2 separate regions of the Mus musculus genome follow, and region 2 is reported to be linked to region 1. The links are microRNA targets in miRTarBase. Many come from high-throughput screens and were not tested one by one. Region 1 holds a microRNA gene; the other region holds the end of a gene's coding sequence. Distances are from middle to middle.

The links. Region 1 holds the annotated microRNA mmu-miR-466c-5p (UGAUGUGUGUGUGCAUGUACAUAU, at 2,616-2,639, opposite strand). A microRNA usually pairs through its seed, bases 2 to 8, with sites in the 3' UTR of a target mRNA and lowers its output. Matches are read on the target gene's strand: a 7mer-m8 pairs with bases 2 to 8, a 7mer-A1 pairs with bases 2 to 7 and ends in A, and an 8mer does both.
Region 2: the mRNA of Frmd4a is a reported target of mmu-miR-466c-5p. Seed matches in the 3' UTR shown: 7mer-m8 at 4,504-4,510.

The regions. Positions count from the first base shown.
Region 1 is chr2:10,476,987-10,484,182 of GRCm38, reverse strand. It overlaps Mir466c-1 (microRNA 466c-1), which reads right to left and starts at 2,649; the gene lies at 2,566-2,649. The region is part of intron 10 of Sfmbt2 (Scm-like with four mbt domains 2); the gene reads right to left. Mir669g (microRNA 669g) reads right to left here and starts at 7,033; the gene lies at 6,911-7,033. It overlaps Mir669j (microRNA 669j), which reads right to left and starts at 6,273; the gene lies at 6,153-6,273. It also overlaps Mir467a-2, Mir466e, Mir669a-4, Mir467b, Mir669a-5 and Mir467a-3, and 1 more gene.
Region 2 is chr2:4,610,377-4,617,979 of GRCm38, reverse strand. Frmd4a (FERM domain containing 4A) reads right to left here. Exons shown (of 23, transcript NM_172475.3): 23 at 3,937-7,013. The coding sequence ends at 6,911. Among named protein-coding and RNA genes, the nearest start is that of Gm13179, 20 kb to the right of the region's middle.

The DNA.
Region 1 (7,196 bases):
CACAGGCTGATCTCTCATGAGGATAAGTGTAAATTTGAACTCCTGATACTCTTAACTCTAGCAAGCATTTTCACTCTAAGTCACTTATCATTCAAATGGATTGACGAGTGCCATTCCCCTGTGTCTGTGTGCTCATATGTGTCTTATGTGTGCGTGTATGTATATGTATATCATATTCACATATGTACATGCACACACACATCAACACATATACACATACGTAGGGGCAATCACATGAATGCCAGGATGACCTCTAACTCATCATGCCTTTACTATGAACTTGCACTCCTGATCTTCCCGACTCTACCAAGGGTTTTCCCGTGGTTTGTGAGACCTCACCCTGGCCCAGTCATACATAACCTCCAAAGCAGTAGGTCACATATCATTCAAATGGATCCGTGAAGGCCATTTCCGCATGTCTGTGTGCATGTGTGTGTAGGTGTGTGTATGTATATGCATAAAATATACACGCATATACATGCAGGCACTTACGCACACGGGCACATACATAGGGGCCATCACATTATTCCAGGATGATCTCTAACTGCTCATGAAGTTAAGCATGAAATTGAACTCCTGATCCTCCTGACACTGCCAATTATTTACACCTGGTGAGTGAGACCTTCACTGTCCCTCTACTTTATAATCAGCAAAATTCTAAGACATATATCATTCAAATGGATCAATGAGTGTCATTCTTATGTGTGTGAGTGTGCACGCCTGTGTGTGTGAATACATTTGTATGTGTGTGTATTTATATGTATGATCATATACACACATGTACGTGCACACACAATTATATGCACTTGTGCATACCTAGGATCCATCACACAAATACAGGGTGATCTCTAACTCATTATGAAGTTAAGCATGAATTTGAACTCCTGAGACTCCTAACTCTGGCAAGTGGTTTTCATCTGATAAGTGAGATTATTCCCTATACCATGAATATACACTCAATGAAATTATAAGCACGTATAAATCAAATGGATGACTGCCATGTGTGTTTGTGTGCACATGTATGTGTCCCTAGTTGTGTGGGTGTGTATACATATATATATATATATATATATATGCATGTTCATATACGCGCATGTACAGGCATACTTCCCTATACACATAAACACAAACACAGGGAAAATCACATGAATTCCGGGCTGATCTCTAACTCATCATAAAGTTAAACATGAATTTGAACTACTCATCCTCATGATGCTGGCAAGAGTATTCACCTCCTAACTGTGTCATAGCTCAGGCCATTCGAGGGAGTATGTTTGCATGTGAGTATATGCATATTCATATACAGAAGTGAATATGTACACAACTATACACACATGCACATTCTGGTGGGCATCACATGAATCGCATACTGAACTCTAACTCATCATGAAGTTAAACATAAATTTGAATTCCTCATCCTCCTGACACTGGCAAGAGTACTCACCTCCTAACTGAGACATAGCTCTGGCCATTCCTATGAATGTGTGTGCATGTGTGTATATGCATATTCATATAGAGAAGTGAATATGCACACAACTATACACACATGCAAATTTTTGGTGGGCATAAGATGAATCCCATGCTGGTCATGAACTCATCATGAAATTCAGCACAAATTTGAACTCCTGATCAACCTGACTCTGTGAAGGGACTTCACCTGCTGAGTGAGACCTCTCCCCATTCAGTACTGAGGAATCTTAAAACTCTAAGTCACACGTCATTCAAATGGATCGATGAGTTGCACTGATGTTTGTGTGTGTGTTTCTGTTTGTGTCTGTGTACATGTATATATTTGTGTAGATAGGTACATCCATATACTCAAATCCACACACAATAGAAACAGATACAGATAGAGATACATAGGGGGCATCACATGAATCCCAGGCATATCTTAAAGTCATCATGAAGTAAAGCATGAATTTGAACTCCTGATCCACAATCTGTCACACCTGGTGAGTAAAACCATTCACTGTCCCAAACTGCATAATCTAAAACTTTAAGTCACATATCATTCAAACGTATAAATGAATGCAATTTTTTTCTCTGTGTCTGTACTTGCATATACACGTGTGTTTATATTTTGAATATCATGTCAACAGAGGCAATGCATATACAAGTAAACACACATGCACATACATGGGTGGCCTCATATGAATACCAGGATGACCTCTAACTGAATTAAGCATGAATTTGCAATCCTTATCCTCCTGACTTTGTCAATCTTTTACACCTGGTGGGTGAGGTCATTCAATGTCCCCTATTGCATAATCTCTAAAACTCTACATCACTTATCATTCTAAGGGATTGGCGAATGCCATTCCTGTGTCTGTGTATGTGTGCTTGCGTTTATACGTGTGTGTGTATGTTATGTATATTCAAATATAGACATGAACATGCACACACAACTATACACACATGCACATACATGGAGGAATCACAGGCTGATCTCTCATGAGGATAAGTGTAAATTTGAACTCCTGATACTCTTAACTCTAGCAAGCATTTTCACTCTAAGTCACTTATCACTCAAATGGATTGATGAGTGCCATTCCCCTGTGTCTGTGTGCTCATATGTGTCTTATGTGTGCGTGTATGTATATGTATATCATATTCACATATGTACATGCACACACACATCAACACATATACACATACATAGGGGCAATCACATGAATGCCAGGATGACCTCTAACTCATCATGCCTTTACCATGAACTTGCACTCCTGATCTTCCTGACTCTATCAAGGGTTTTCCCGTGGTTTGTGAGACCTCACCCTGGCCCAGTCATACATAACCTCCAAAGCAGTAGGTCACATATCATTCAAATGGATCCGTGAGGGACATTCCCGCATGTCTGTGTGCATGTGTGTGTTGGTGTGTGTATGTATATGCATAAAATATACACGCATATACATGCAGGCACTTACGCACACGGGCACATACAAAGGGGCCATCACATTATTCCAGGATGATCTCTAACTGCTCATGAAGTTAAGCATGAAATTGAACTCCTGATCCTCCTGACACTGCCAATTGTTTACACCTGGTGAGTGAGACCTTCACTATCCCTCTACTTTATAATCAGCAAAATTCTAAGACATATATCATTCAAATGGATCAATGAGTGTCATTCTTATGTGTGTGAGTGTGCATGCCTGTGTGTGTGAATACATTTTATATGTGTGTGTATTTATATGTATGATCATATACACACATGTACGTGCACACACAATTATATGCACTTTTGCATACCTAGGATCCATCACACAAATACAGGGTGATCTCTAACTCATTATGAAGTTAAGCATGAATTTGAACTCCTGAGACTCCTAACTCTGGCAAGTGGTTTTCATTTGATAAGTGAGATTTTTCCCTATACCATGAATATACACTCAATGAAACTCAAAGCACGCATAAATCAAATGGATGACTGCCATGTGTGTTTGTGTGCACATGTATGTGTCCCTAGTTGTGTGTGTGTGTGTGTATACATATATACATATATATACATATATATATATGCATGTTCATATACGCGCATGTACAGGCATACTTCCCTATACACATAAACACAAACACAGGGAAAATCACATGAATTCCGGGCTGATCTCTAACTCATCATAAAGTTAAACATGAATTTGAACTACTCATCCTCATGATGCTGGCAAGAGTATTCACCTCCTAACTGAGTCATAGCTCGGGCCATTCGTGGGAATATGTTTGCATGTGAGTATATGCATATTCATATACAGAAGTGAATATATACACAACTATACACACATGCACATTCTTGGTGGGCATCACATGAATCGCATACTGAACTCTAACTCATCATGAAGTTAAACATAAATTTGAATTCCTCATCCTCCTGACACTGGCAAGAGTACTCACCTCCTAACTGAGACATAGCTCTGGCCATTCCTATGAATGTGTGTGCATGTGTGTATATGCATATTCATATAGAGAAGTGAATATGCACACAACTATACACACATGCAAATTTTTGATGGGCATAAGATGAATCCCATGCTGGTCATGAACTCATCATGAAATTCAGCACAAATTTGAACTCCTGATCCACCTGACTCTGTCAAGGGATTTCACCTGCTGAGTGAGACCTCTCCCCATTCAGTACTGAGGAATCTTAAAACTCTAAGTCACACGTCATTCAAATGGATCGATGAGTTGCACTGATGTTTGTGTGTGTGTTTCTGTTTGTGTCTGTGTACATGTATATATTTGTGTAGATAGGTACATCCATATACTCAAATCCACACACAATAGAAACAGATACAGATAGGGATACATAGGGGCATCACATGAATCCCAGGCATATCTTAAAGTCATCATGAAGTAAAGCATGAATTTGAACTCCTGATCCACAATCTTTCACACCTGGTGAGTAAAACCATTCACTGTCCCAAACTGCATAATCTAAAACTTTAAGTCACATATCATTCAAACGTATAAATGAATGCAATTTTTTTCTCTGTGTCTGTACTTGCATATACACGTGTGTTTATATTTTGTATATCATGTCAACAGAGGCAATGCATATACAAGTAAACACACATGCACATACATGGGTGGCCTCACATGAATACCAGGATGATCTCTAACTGAATTAAGCATGAATTTGCAATCCTTATCCTCCTGACTTTGTCAATCTTTTACACCTGGTGGGTGAGACCATTCAATGTCCCCTATTGCATAATCGCTAAAACTCTACATCACTTATCATTCAAAGGGATTGGCGAATGCCATTCCTGTGTCTGTGTATGTGTGCTTGCGTTTATACGTGTGTGTGTATGTTATGTATATTCAAATATAGACATGAACATGCACACACAACTATACACACATGCACATACATGGAGGAATCACAGGCTGATCTCTCATGAGGATAAGTATGAATTTGAACTCCTGATACCCTTAACTCTAGCAAGCATTTTCACTCTAAGTCACTTATCACTCAAATGGATTGATGAGTGCCATTCCCATGTGTCTGTGTGCTCATATGTGTCTTATGTGTGCGTGTATGTATATGTATATCATATTCACATATGTACATGTACACACACATCAACACATACACACATACATAGGGGCAATCACATGAATGCCAGGATGACCTCTAACACATCATGCCTTTACCATGAACTTGCACTCCTGATCTTCCCGACTCTACCAAGGGTTTCCCGTGGTTTGTGAGACCTCACCCTGGCCCAGTCATACATAACCTCCAAAGCAGTAGGTCACATATCATTCAAATGGATCCGTGAGTGCCATTCCCGCATGTCTGTGTGCATGTGTGTGTAGGTGTGTGTATGTATATGCATAAAATATACACGCATATACATGCAGGCACTTACGCACACAGGCACATACATAGGGGCCATCACATTATTCCAGGATGATCTCTAACTGCTCATGAAGTTAAGCATAAAATTGAACTCCTGATCTTCCTGACACTGCCAATTGTTTACACCTGGTGAGAGAGAATATTCACTGTCCCTCTACTTTATAATCAGCAAAATTCTAAGACATATATCATTCAAATGGATCAATGAGTGTCATTCTTATGTGTGTGAGTGTGCATGCCTGTATGTGTGAATACATTTGTATGTGTGTGTATTTACAGGGATGATCATATATACACATGTACGTGCACACACAATTATATGCAAATGTACATAACTAGGGTCGATCCCACAAATCCAGGGTGATCTCTAACTCATCATGAAGTTAAGCATGAATTTGACCTCCTGAGACTCCTAACTCTGGCAAACAGTTTTCATTTGATAAGTGAGATTTTTCCCTATACCATGAATATAAACTCAATGAAACTCTAAGCACGTATAAATCAAATGGATGACTGCCATGTGTGTTTGTGTGCACATGTATGTGTCCCTAGTTGTGTGTGTGTGTATATATATATATATGTATGTATATATATATATATATATATATATATATGCATGTTCATATACGTGCATGTACAGGCATACTTCCCTATACACATAAACACAAACACAGGGAAAATCTCATGAATTCCGGGCTGATCTCTAACTCATCAAAAAGTTAAACATGAATTTGAACTGCTCATCCTCATGATGCTGGCAAGAGTATTCACCTCCTAACTGAGTCATAGCTCGGGCCATTCGTGGGAGTATGTTTGCATGTGAGTATATGCATATTCATATACAAAAGTGAATATGTACACAACTATACACACATGCACATTCTTGGTGGACATCACATGAATCGCATGCTGAACTCTAACTCATCATGAAGTTAAACATGATTTTGAACTCCTCATCCTCCTGACACTGGCAAGAGTGCTCACCTCCTAACTGAGACATAGCTCTGGCCATTCCTATGAATGTGTGTGCATGTGTGTATATGCATATTCATATAGAGAAGTGAATATGCACACAACTATACACACATGCACATTTTTGGTGGGCATAAGATGAATCCCATGCTGGTCATGAACTCATCATGAAATTCAGCACGAATTTGAACTCCTGATCCAACTGACTCTGTCAAGGGATTTCACCTGCTGAGTGAGACCTCTCCCCATTCAGTACTGAGGAATCTTAAAACTCTAAGTCACACGTCATTCAAATGGATCGATGAGTTGCACTGATGTTTGTGTGTGTGTTTCTGTTTGTGTCTGTGTACATGTATATATTTGTGTAGATAGGTACATCCATATACTCAAATCCACACACAATAGAAACAGATACAGATAGGGATACATAGGGGGCATCACATGAATCCCAGGCATATCTCTAAGTCATCATGTAGTAAAGCATGCATTTGAACTCCTGATCCACAATCTTTCACACCTGGTGAGTAAAACCATTCACTGTCCCACTACTGCATAATCTTGAAAACTTTAAGTCACATATCATTCAAACGTATAAATGAATGCAATTTTTCCTGTGTGTGTGTGCTTGCAGATACACGTGTGTTTATGTTATGTATATCATGTCAACACATACAATGCACATACAAGTAAGCACACATGCACATAAATGGGTTGCATGACATTAATACCAAGATGTCTCCAAATGAAGTTAAGCATGAATTTGCAATCCTTATCCTCCTGACTTTGTCAATCTTTTACACCTGGTGAGTGAGGCCATTCAATGCCCCCTATTGCATAATCTCTAAAACTCTACATCACTTAT
Region 2 (7,603 bases), 5.9 Mb from region 1:
TTTGGGGACTTGAGAGTTTAGTTTGTCTACATCTGCTCATATTTGAAGTGTCTTCTGAAACCTTTGCTTTAGCAGGGTTACATTGTGGACTTAGTTTGTGTTCACCCGATGATAACCCAGTTGAAACACCTCTACTGTACATTTCCTTTTAGGAAGGCTCTAATCAAGACAGACTTCATGCCTGTTGTCTCCTGTTGAGTTTTGTACATTTTCTTGCTTAAATGAATTTTTAAATTCATTTAAAAATTGAATTTATTTAATTTTTATTAAAGAATTATTTATTTTATGTATATGAGTACACTATAGCTGTCCTCAGATACACCAGAAGAGGGCATTGGATCCAATTACAGACAGTTGTGAGCCACCATGTGGTTGCTGAAAATTGAACTCAGGACCTCTGGAAGAGTAGTCAATGCCCTTAACCACTGAGCCATCTCTCCAGCCCCTCTTGCTAGTTTATACTTATGTATACATTCTTATGGACATAGATGTTGTACTATGGCTGAGGCCAATTGTTGTGCTAATTGTTAATGGGAAGGAACAAATCTCATGCCCAGCTTGGATATTGATATAATCTTTTCAGCTATCTTTGAGTAGGGACCCCATTAAAAAATCATTTCATTTGGTAATCTTTTAAAAACATTTATAGACTTATTTTTATGTCCATGAGTATTTTTCCAGCATGTAGTTAAGCTTACTGCACTTGGGCAGTGCTTATGGAAGTCAGAACAGTATCTGATCCCAGGGAAGTAGAGGTACAGATGGTTTGAGTTGCTGCGTGGGTGCTGGGAAGTGAATCTGGGTCCTTTGTAAGAGCACCAAGCGCTCTTAATCACTGACTCATCCCAGCCTGTATGCCAATTTTAATGAAACTTTTTTTCTCTTTCTTTAACGGTGTCATCATAGTGGCATTCCTACAAGCATGGGATTTCAGAGAAGGGAACTGAATTTTTGCACTTTCTGTAAAATCCTAGTGTTTCGTTACGTATTCGTTCATTTGTATTTGTGTGTCTGTGACGTAAGCTCACGTGTGTGGGAGCTTGCACGCCTATGCACATTAGTGAAGGCAGAAGAGCACTTCCTACTCCTGTGAGCAGTCTCTCTCTGATTCTGGGACTCTTGTATGAAGCTTTGAGGTTGCTGCATCCTGACTCCCCTTTTCCTGTCTCATGTAGCTGTGGCCTTAACCTTATTCTCACACTAGTTGAATTTGGAAGCACTCTTAAGCACTGTAAGTGTACCAGCATTCTTCCTTAGCAGACGTGGTGGAAATGGCATTACTCTTTCCGTCTCGGGCTAAATCTTCTACTGTGCCTGCTTTCCTGCCCCTCTCTGGTAAATGATTCAGTTTTTATTTTCTTCCTCTTTCCCACAATGCAGTATAAATCTCACAAGGATGGACATTCATATCTGTTTTGTTTACTGCAGATGTGGGAAGAAAAAGAGCCATCAGGGATAATTACAAGATCTTTGACCTGAGCCCTAGGAAGATGGCACTTCCTCTAAGTTGAGGGTGGCCATTGGAGCATGTTTGGAGGGGGAAATCAAGAGTTAGGTTTTTGACATCTCGCTGTTGAAGAGGCAATAGGAAGTACAGATTGAAAGAAGAGCCCCAGAATGGATGGAAAGTGCTGGTGTCGCCAGCAGAAAGGTGACACAGCAAACCAGGAGAGCAGTGTGTTATGGTTGGAATCGGAAATGTTCTCAGGAGGCTTGTGTGTTTGAACACGTGGTCCCTAGATGGCTATGCTCTGTGGGATCTTTGGGATGTGGGGCCTTTGTGATATAAGTAGTTCACTAGGGAGTGATCTTTGAAGTTTATATGTGCCTCTTGTTCCAGTTTTGCGTTTTGTGTTCTGGTCAGCCAAGAATCAGGGTACGTTTACTTGCAAGGACCTGGTACTACCCTTTGCCTGCTAAACCAGAGTCAAATAAAACCTTCCCTGAGGTGGTTTCTCTCAGGTACTTTATAATAGTGATGAGAAAATACAGGGAGCCAAGAGTAAGAGAGTCCAAACAAACATAGTGGTGTGAAGAAGTTATCTCAGTAGAGTAAGGAACACTGTCTACATTCAGTGCCTGATGGTAAGCTGCATAAAATGACAAAAGGGAGCTGTTGGCATCACAAGGCGTCCATCTTGATGACTCGGCTAGGTGAAGCGGAGGGGAGGAGTGCATGACTGGAGTGAGTTTTAGGGAAAATGGGTACCAGAAAGAGAAGCAAAAGTAACCTACTACTGGCTTATAAGGATAACATCTTATAAAATGTGCTTCTACGAAGAATAAAAAACACCCATGTGCGTGCATGTGCGTGTACACCAATTATTCTAGAATACCAATTATTATCTACACTATTGCCTTGGCTGAATAGAAGTGACTTTGCTGGCAGTGTGACTTAGTGTAAACCAGGCAGTTATATATTATACCTCAGTGGCTGTCATCTCAGAGAGGCCAACTCCTTGCGCAAGGTCTGAGTGAGAGCCCCTGTATGTTAGTGTCCTTGGGAATTGGCTTAAGCTCCTCCCAGTTTAATGCTGCTAGAGTTCCTCACCCTTTAAATCTCTATCCTGTGCTGCTTTTTCTGATTCACAAGCACCTAAGACTGAGCACACGGATTCTGTACCAAGTGTGCAGGGCCTTGACAGAGGCCACTGGCTGCTCACAGCCTTCAAGTGGATCTGTACACTCTGGGGAGAGTTTTGTGTGTCTTTTAACAGTTATTCTGGGAAGTCAGGGACTGAATATTTTTAATATTTTCTACAGGATCAGGGTGTTTACTTTGTGTTCTCCAGGAATCAAGATAAAAATGAGAGTTATTATGTTGACATTATGTGAGAGGCAGAAGTAGGGGTGTGTGTGAGTGTGTGTGTGTGTGTGTGTGTGTGAGTGTGTGTGTGTGTGTGTGAGTGTGTGTGTGTGTGTGTGTGTGTGTGTGTGTGTGTGTGTGTGAGTGTGTGTGTGTGTGTGTGTGTGTGTGTGTGTGAGTGTGTGTGTGTGAGTGTGTGTGTGTGTGAGTGAAGCTAAATTCCAGTTGCTTTCCTTTGACGGATCTTAGAGCACAGGCTCATTTTGGCATCTTTATGTATAACATGTTTACAAGAGGCCTTTTTTGTTTCAAGTATAGATTATTTTGGGACAGTGTGATAGTGCCCTAAGCAGTTTCCCAGACAGTTGCCAGAGTTCAGGAAGTAGGAAACACTGTTCTATCTGCTTACTTTCAGACAGGTCCAGCTTCTTCGTGCATCGTTGCTCTTATTGGCAGGCTCTAGCCCCTTGTCAGGAAGGGCTTTCCATGTAGGGTGTTCCTGGAGGCTAGCCTTTCAGTTTCCTGCTAGGAAAGAGCTGTCTGTCAGGTGACAACAGGCCAGGGATACAATTGCAGTGATCTGCTAATGCATGCCAGTAGCCGTATGCTTAGGAAAGAGCTGTCTGTCAGGTGACAACAGGCCAGGGATACAATTGCAGTGATCTGCTAATGCATGCCAGTAGCCGTATGCTTAGGAAAGAGCTGTCTGTCAGGTGACAACAGGCCAGGGATACAATTGCAGTGATCTGCTAATGCATGCCAGTAGCCGTATGCTGTAATTGGGGGACTTTTGTAACTGTAACTGGCTATTGTCCAGGTGATATGATTTAGAGGGTAGATGATTTATAGCAAAGAACTGGCCTCTCTACCACGGCAACAATACCAGGTGTACTTGGGTGTGTGTGGTGGTGTGCGCCCGCACTTGGGCTGGAGGCAAAAAGATTGTGATTTTAAAGCTGTTGTGCAGAATGAGACTGTTTTAAAGAACAAGCCAAACCCAAAAGGTATGCCATAGGTAGGCTGATGTTTATGGAAAAAAAAAAAGTTCATTATCTTCTTGATATGTAGATTTCTGGAGCGTGGTTACATGTTTATCGTTTAGAAACAAAGTGTCCAAGAGGCAACTGGGGTGTTTTCATTTTGAAAATGCTTTAATAAGTGTTGACAACACTGTTCTGCAAAATGTAAAGGTACTATACAAATTCTTAATACAAAAAGAATAAATTAAAAGCAGATTTCCTTTTTTTTTTAATTCTGCAACTTTGTCTACAACATACATCTTTGTCATTGATTACAGTTGAACAGAATCCAGTAAAATCATTTTACATGCTCTACAGTCAGTTTCAGGAGCAACCTAATCTTACCACCCCCCCAATTATTAAACTAGAGTCCGTTTTACACAACTTGTAATAAACTATTGACATGAATGGATATGTAAAACTTTACACCTAGTTAACTAAGCAGTAATTGGTCATCTGATAGCACCTGGGTGAGGCTTGCTATATTTAGAACTAAACTAATACTGGATGAAAACAAATTGGGCTTTGAACACTCCAACACTCACCTGCATATAACAAAATAAACCAACCTGGCTCACAACATAGTCTTCTGGCTGAAACAAGCAATTTCTTACATGTATCCAACGAATCCAATAGGGGCTTTAAACTGGGGACTTCATCTCCCTTAAAAGAAACAGGGATGTGTAAAGAATCTGCAGGTGCTTGGATACAATACCTAGAGCGTTCATCACCAACCACAGCGACCATTTATTATGTCAGTCTCAAAGGACTAATGCGTATTATATTATGTACAGTGTATTAACCGAACACAGCTAAACAGTAAAACCTGTTTTACTTAAATCTCTGTCCTTACTGCCAGACTATCGTGATGGTGTTCACAGCTCCCATTCCGTTTCCCTCTGCTCCCCAAATCTATTACATTTAGATTCTTTCTGCATCTCTCATAGATCCGAAGGACTTCAGAATCAATTTTCAAACTGCTGTCTCTGTTATAACCTGTAACCATGTAACCTTGTCTTGTTCTTTGTTTCCTTTTGGACGTTTTCTGTTCAGGCAAATTATTCAGGCATCTCCTTTTGGAAGAAAGAAAATGGGGCACAATGTGTCACATTTCCATTAGCTAAGGAAGGAAGAAATAGTCCCCAAATAAACCTGCTTTATGTAGCTCCGACTATCATACTAGGAGCAAGAAAGGTAGCCCCGTCTCCACGGAGCCCCAGGGTCATTTTGTACCATCATATCCCGTCCCCACTCACCCTACAGGGTTATCCCTCAAGTGTCTGGGAAGAGTACTGCTTCTGGAAGCTGGGCTCATCACGCCAACCATGCCCAGCTCTGGGGTACCCAGCCTTGAATGGGAGAGAAAAGGCCTCAGGCCACATGGGATGAATGCTCCCACTTGACTTCCAGAGGTTTCCAAGCCACTGCAAAGTGAGGGTCAGTCCTTTCTGCTGTTCATTTCTTACCTTCCCAGTCTGGTAATGTCTATTGTTATTCTTGGATTTAAATACATGAGGAAGTTTTTTTCTTTTGATGCCACAGCCAACTTTTAGATTTGCTTTCTTCCCACCCTGGCTCCTGGTCCTAGATGTCTTCCCCACAGGAAGTCATGACAAGGTAACCCCTGCAAGCCACACTACCTCCACAGAGACTCTTGTGCCATCGTTAGTGCCATGCCCCACTAAGACTGTGCACTGGTTAGTTAGTATAGAAGTGGTTCTGAGGCCTTTGGAGATTGATGGCTTTTTGGTTGTGTGTTAAGCATAGCTCAAAACACATGTAAACAAGCAGCTTGCACGCGTGCTTTTATGTTTTTTGCCTTTTATCCTCTTGGTATCTGTGGACGGAGGTGGTGTATCGAGGTCACAGATACTGCTGGAGGGGTCTGGGCCCTTTGGGAGCTGAGTTGTTGCAACTCTGCTCTGCCTGCCAACTGGTAGACGTGTGTAAAAAGTCTTCCTACCTAAGGGCGTACGTGAGTTCTCTGACTAAGCGACACACAGGCGAGGTCTGTCCGAGTGCACACAAGTGTTAACAAACATAAAATGAACCACAACGGTAAAACACTTGAGTAGATTGCAATGTGCTTTTTCCCTTGGTTTCCCAAAAACAAAAACTGAAAGGCCTTGTACAAAACAGAAAGGTTACACTTTTACTGGTGGTTTTAACGAGAGAACTGCTTTTGGCTATGGTCACCGTTGGCTTCCTCCCCATCCCAAAAGGAAGGAAGCTTTGGGGGCGTAGGCTGAAGCCCCTGCATAGGGCAGTCCTAATGGTACCCTGCTCCTCCCATGTCCAGACAGATAGAGTCCGAGTCTGCCAGGCCAGCCGAGCCTCCTTCATCTTCACTGTCCCGTTGGGTTTGTTCCCAGCTCTCAGGAGTGCTCCAGGAGAAGGGTCACGACAGGACGTGGTCTAAGATGGTTGACTTTCACTTGTGCTGCGTAGGAGCAGTTTAGAATTGAAATTTCGCTGCAGAAAAAGTGTGTTCCTCTTGGCCCCTCCTATCTGTTCATTGTTGAATGTGTCTAATCTTTGGCAGCATAGAACCAACTGTGATCCTCTGATGCGTCTCTGAAGCACCAGTCTTCTTTCTCACACGTCCCCTTAGGAGCTCTTGCTGGCTGTCTCACTATGGCAGATTTATTTCAGGTGTAAACTGATATCCCCTGAGCACTCTCCTCTAGAAGCACTCGGCCGGCCTATAGGGTGGCAGCCAGAAACAGCTTCAGTATCTGCAGGCAGGGCTAGCTTTTTTCTTGTTCTCTTCTACAGGAATTGCATGTGTTGGCTTTCCTGACAGTTTGTGGCCTGGGTATCATGGCAGACGGAAACCACCAAGGTGCCATTGAGGATTGTTGTCTGGCTCTCTGGGCAAGAGAGCCAGGGGACACACAGTGGGTTCGGAACCTTCCAGAATGTCTCCTCAGTCAGGTTTTTGAGGGTGAAAGGGATGTGGAGACAGGAGAAGAAAAGTGCTGAGGGCCGAAGCTGGTGCAGGTGACAGTGCATCTGGGTAAGGCAAATGAGAGGCAGTGAGGTGACTTGGAATGGCGTGGCGGTGGTCACATCCAGCCTGGCCGGCTCACACGAGGGTCCCGGGCTTGGCTTTTTCCTGCCCGTACCATTGGACATCAGCTAGCTCTGGATAGAGGGAGGAATCCAGGAAGCAGCTGTCACTGTAGCTCCTGTGGATCCGAGAGAGAGAGAGAGAGAGAGAGAGAGAGAGAGAGAGAGAGAGAGAGAGAACCAGAGTTAGAGTACTACAGAATGAATGTTAGGATGCATGAGTCACATGCTCTCTACAGATGAGCTGTCTTCCCTGCCCCACATAGGTGAGGCTTGCCAATCTCCATTACGTTTGGTATACGAAAGGCGTCCAGAGACCATAAGAGTAGCACAAAAGGGACCTCCTGAAACCTCGGCAATGCAAGTTAACGCTCGATACAGTCGTCCTCAGGGTCATGTGGGAACCTCAGAAATGCTCACGTCCAGGCCCGAGTCAGGGCCTGCTGCTATTTGCTTGGGGGCCCTTCCCAGTCCCACAGGATTTTCAGATGCAGCCCAGGCTGAGAAGCCCGTGGAACTGTACACCTCGGGGTGACTTCCTACATGACAGCCAGGGGTGTACACCTCGGGGTGACTTCCTACATGACAGCCAGGGGCTTGCTTTACAGCAGACCTAAGGGCTAACGCTTCTGTGGTAAATTATCACTGTCCTGGAAGAACAGTAAAAACGTGAGCCTTCCCTAGAGTAACACTAAAGTGATGCTCTAGA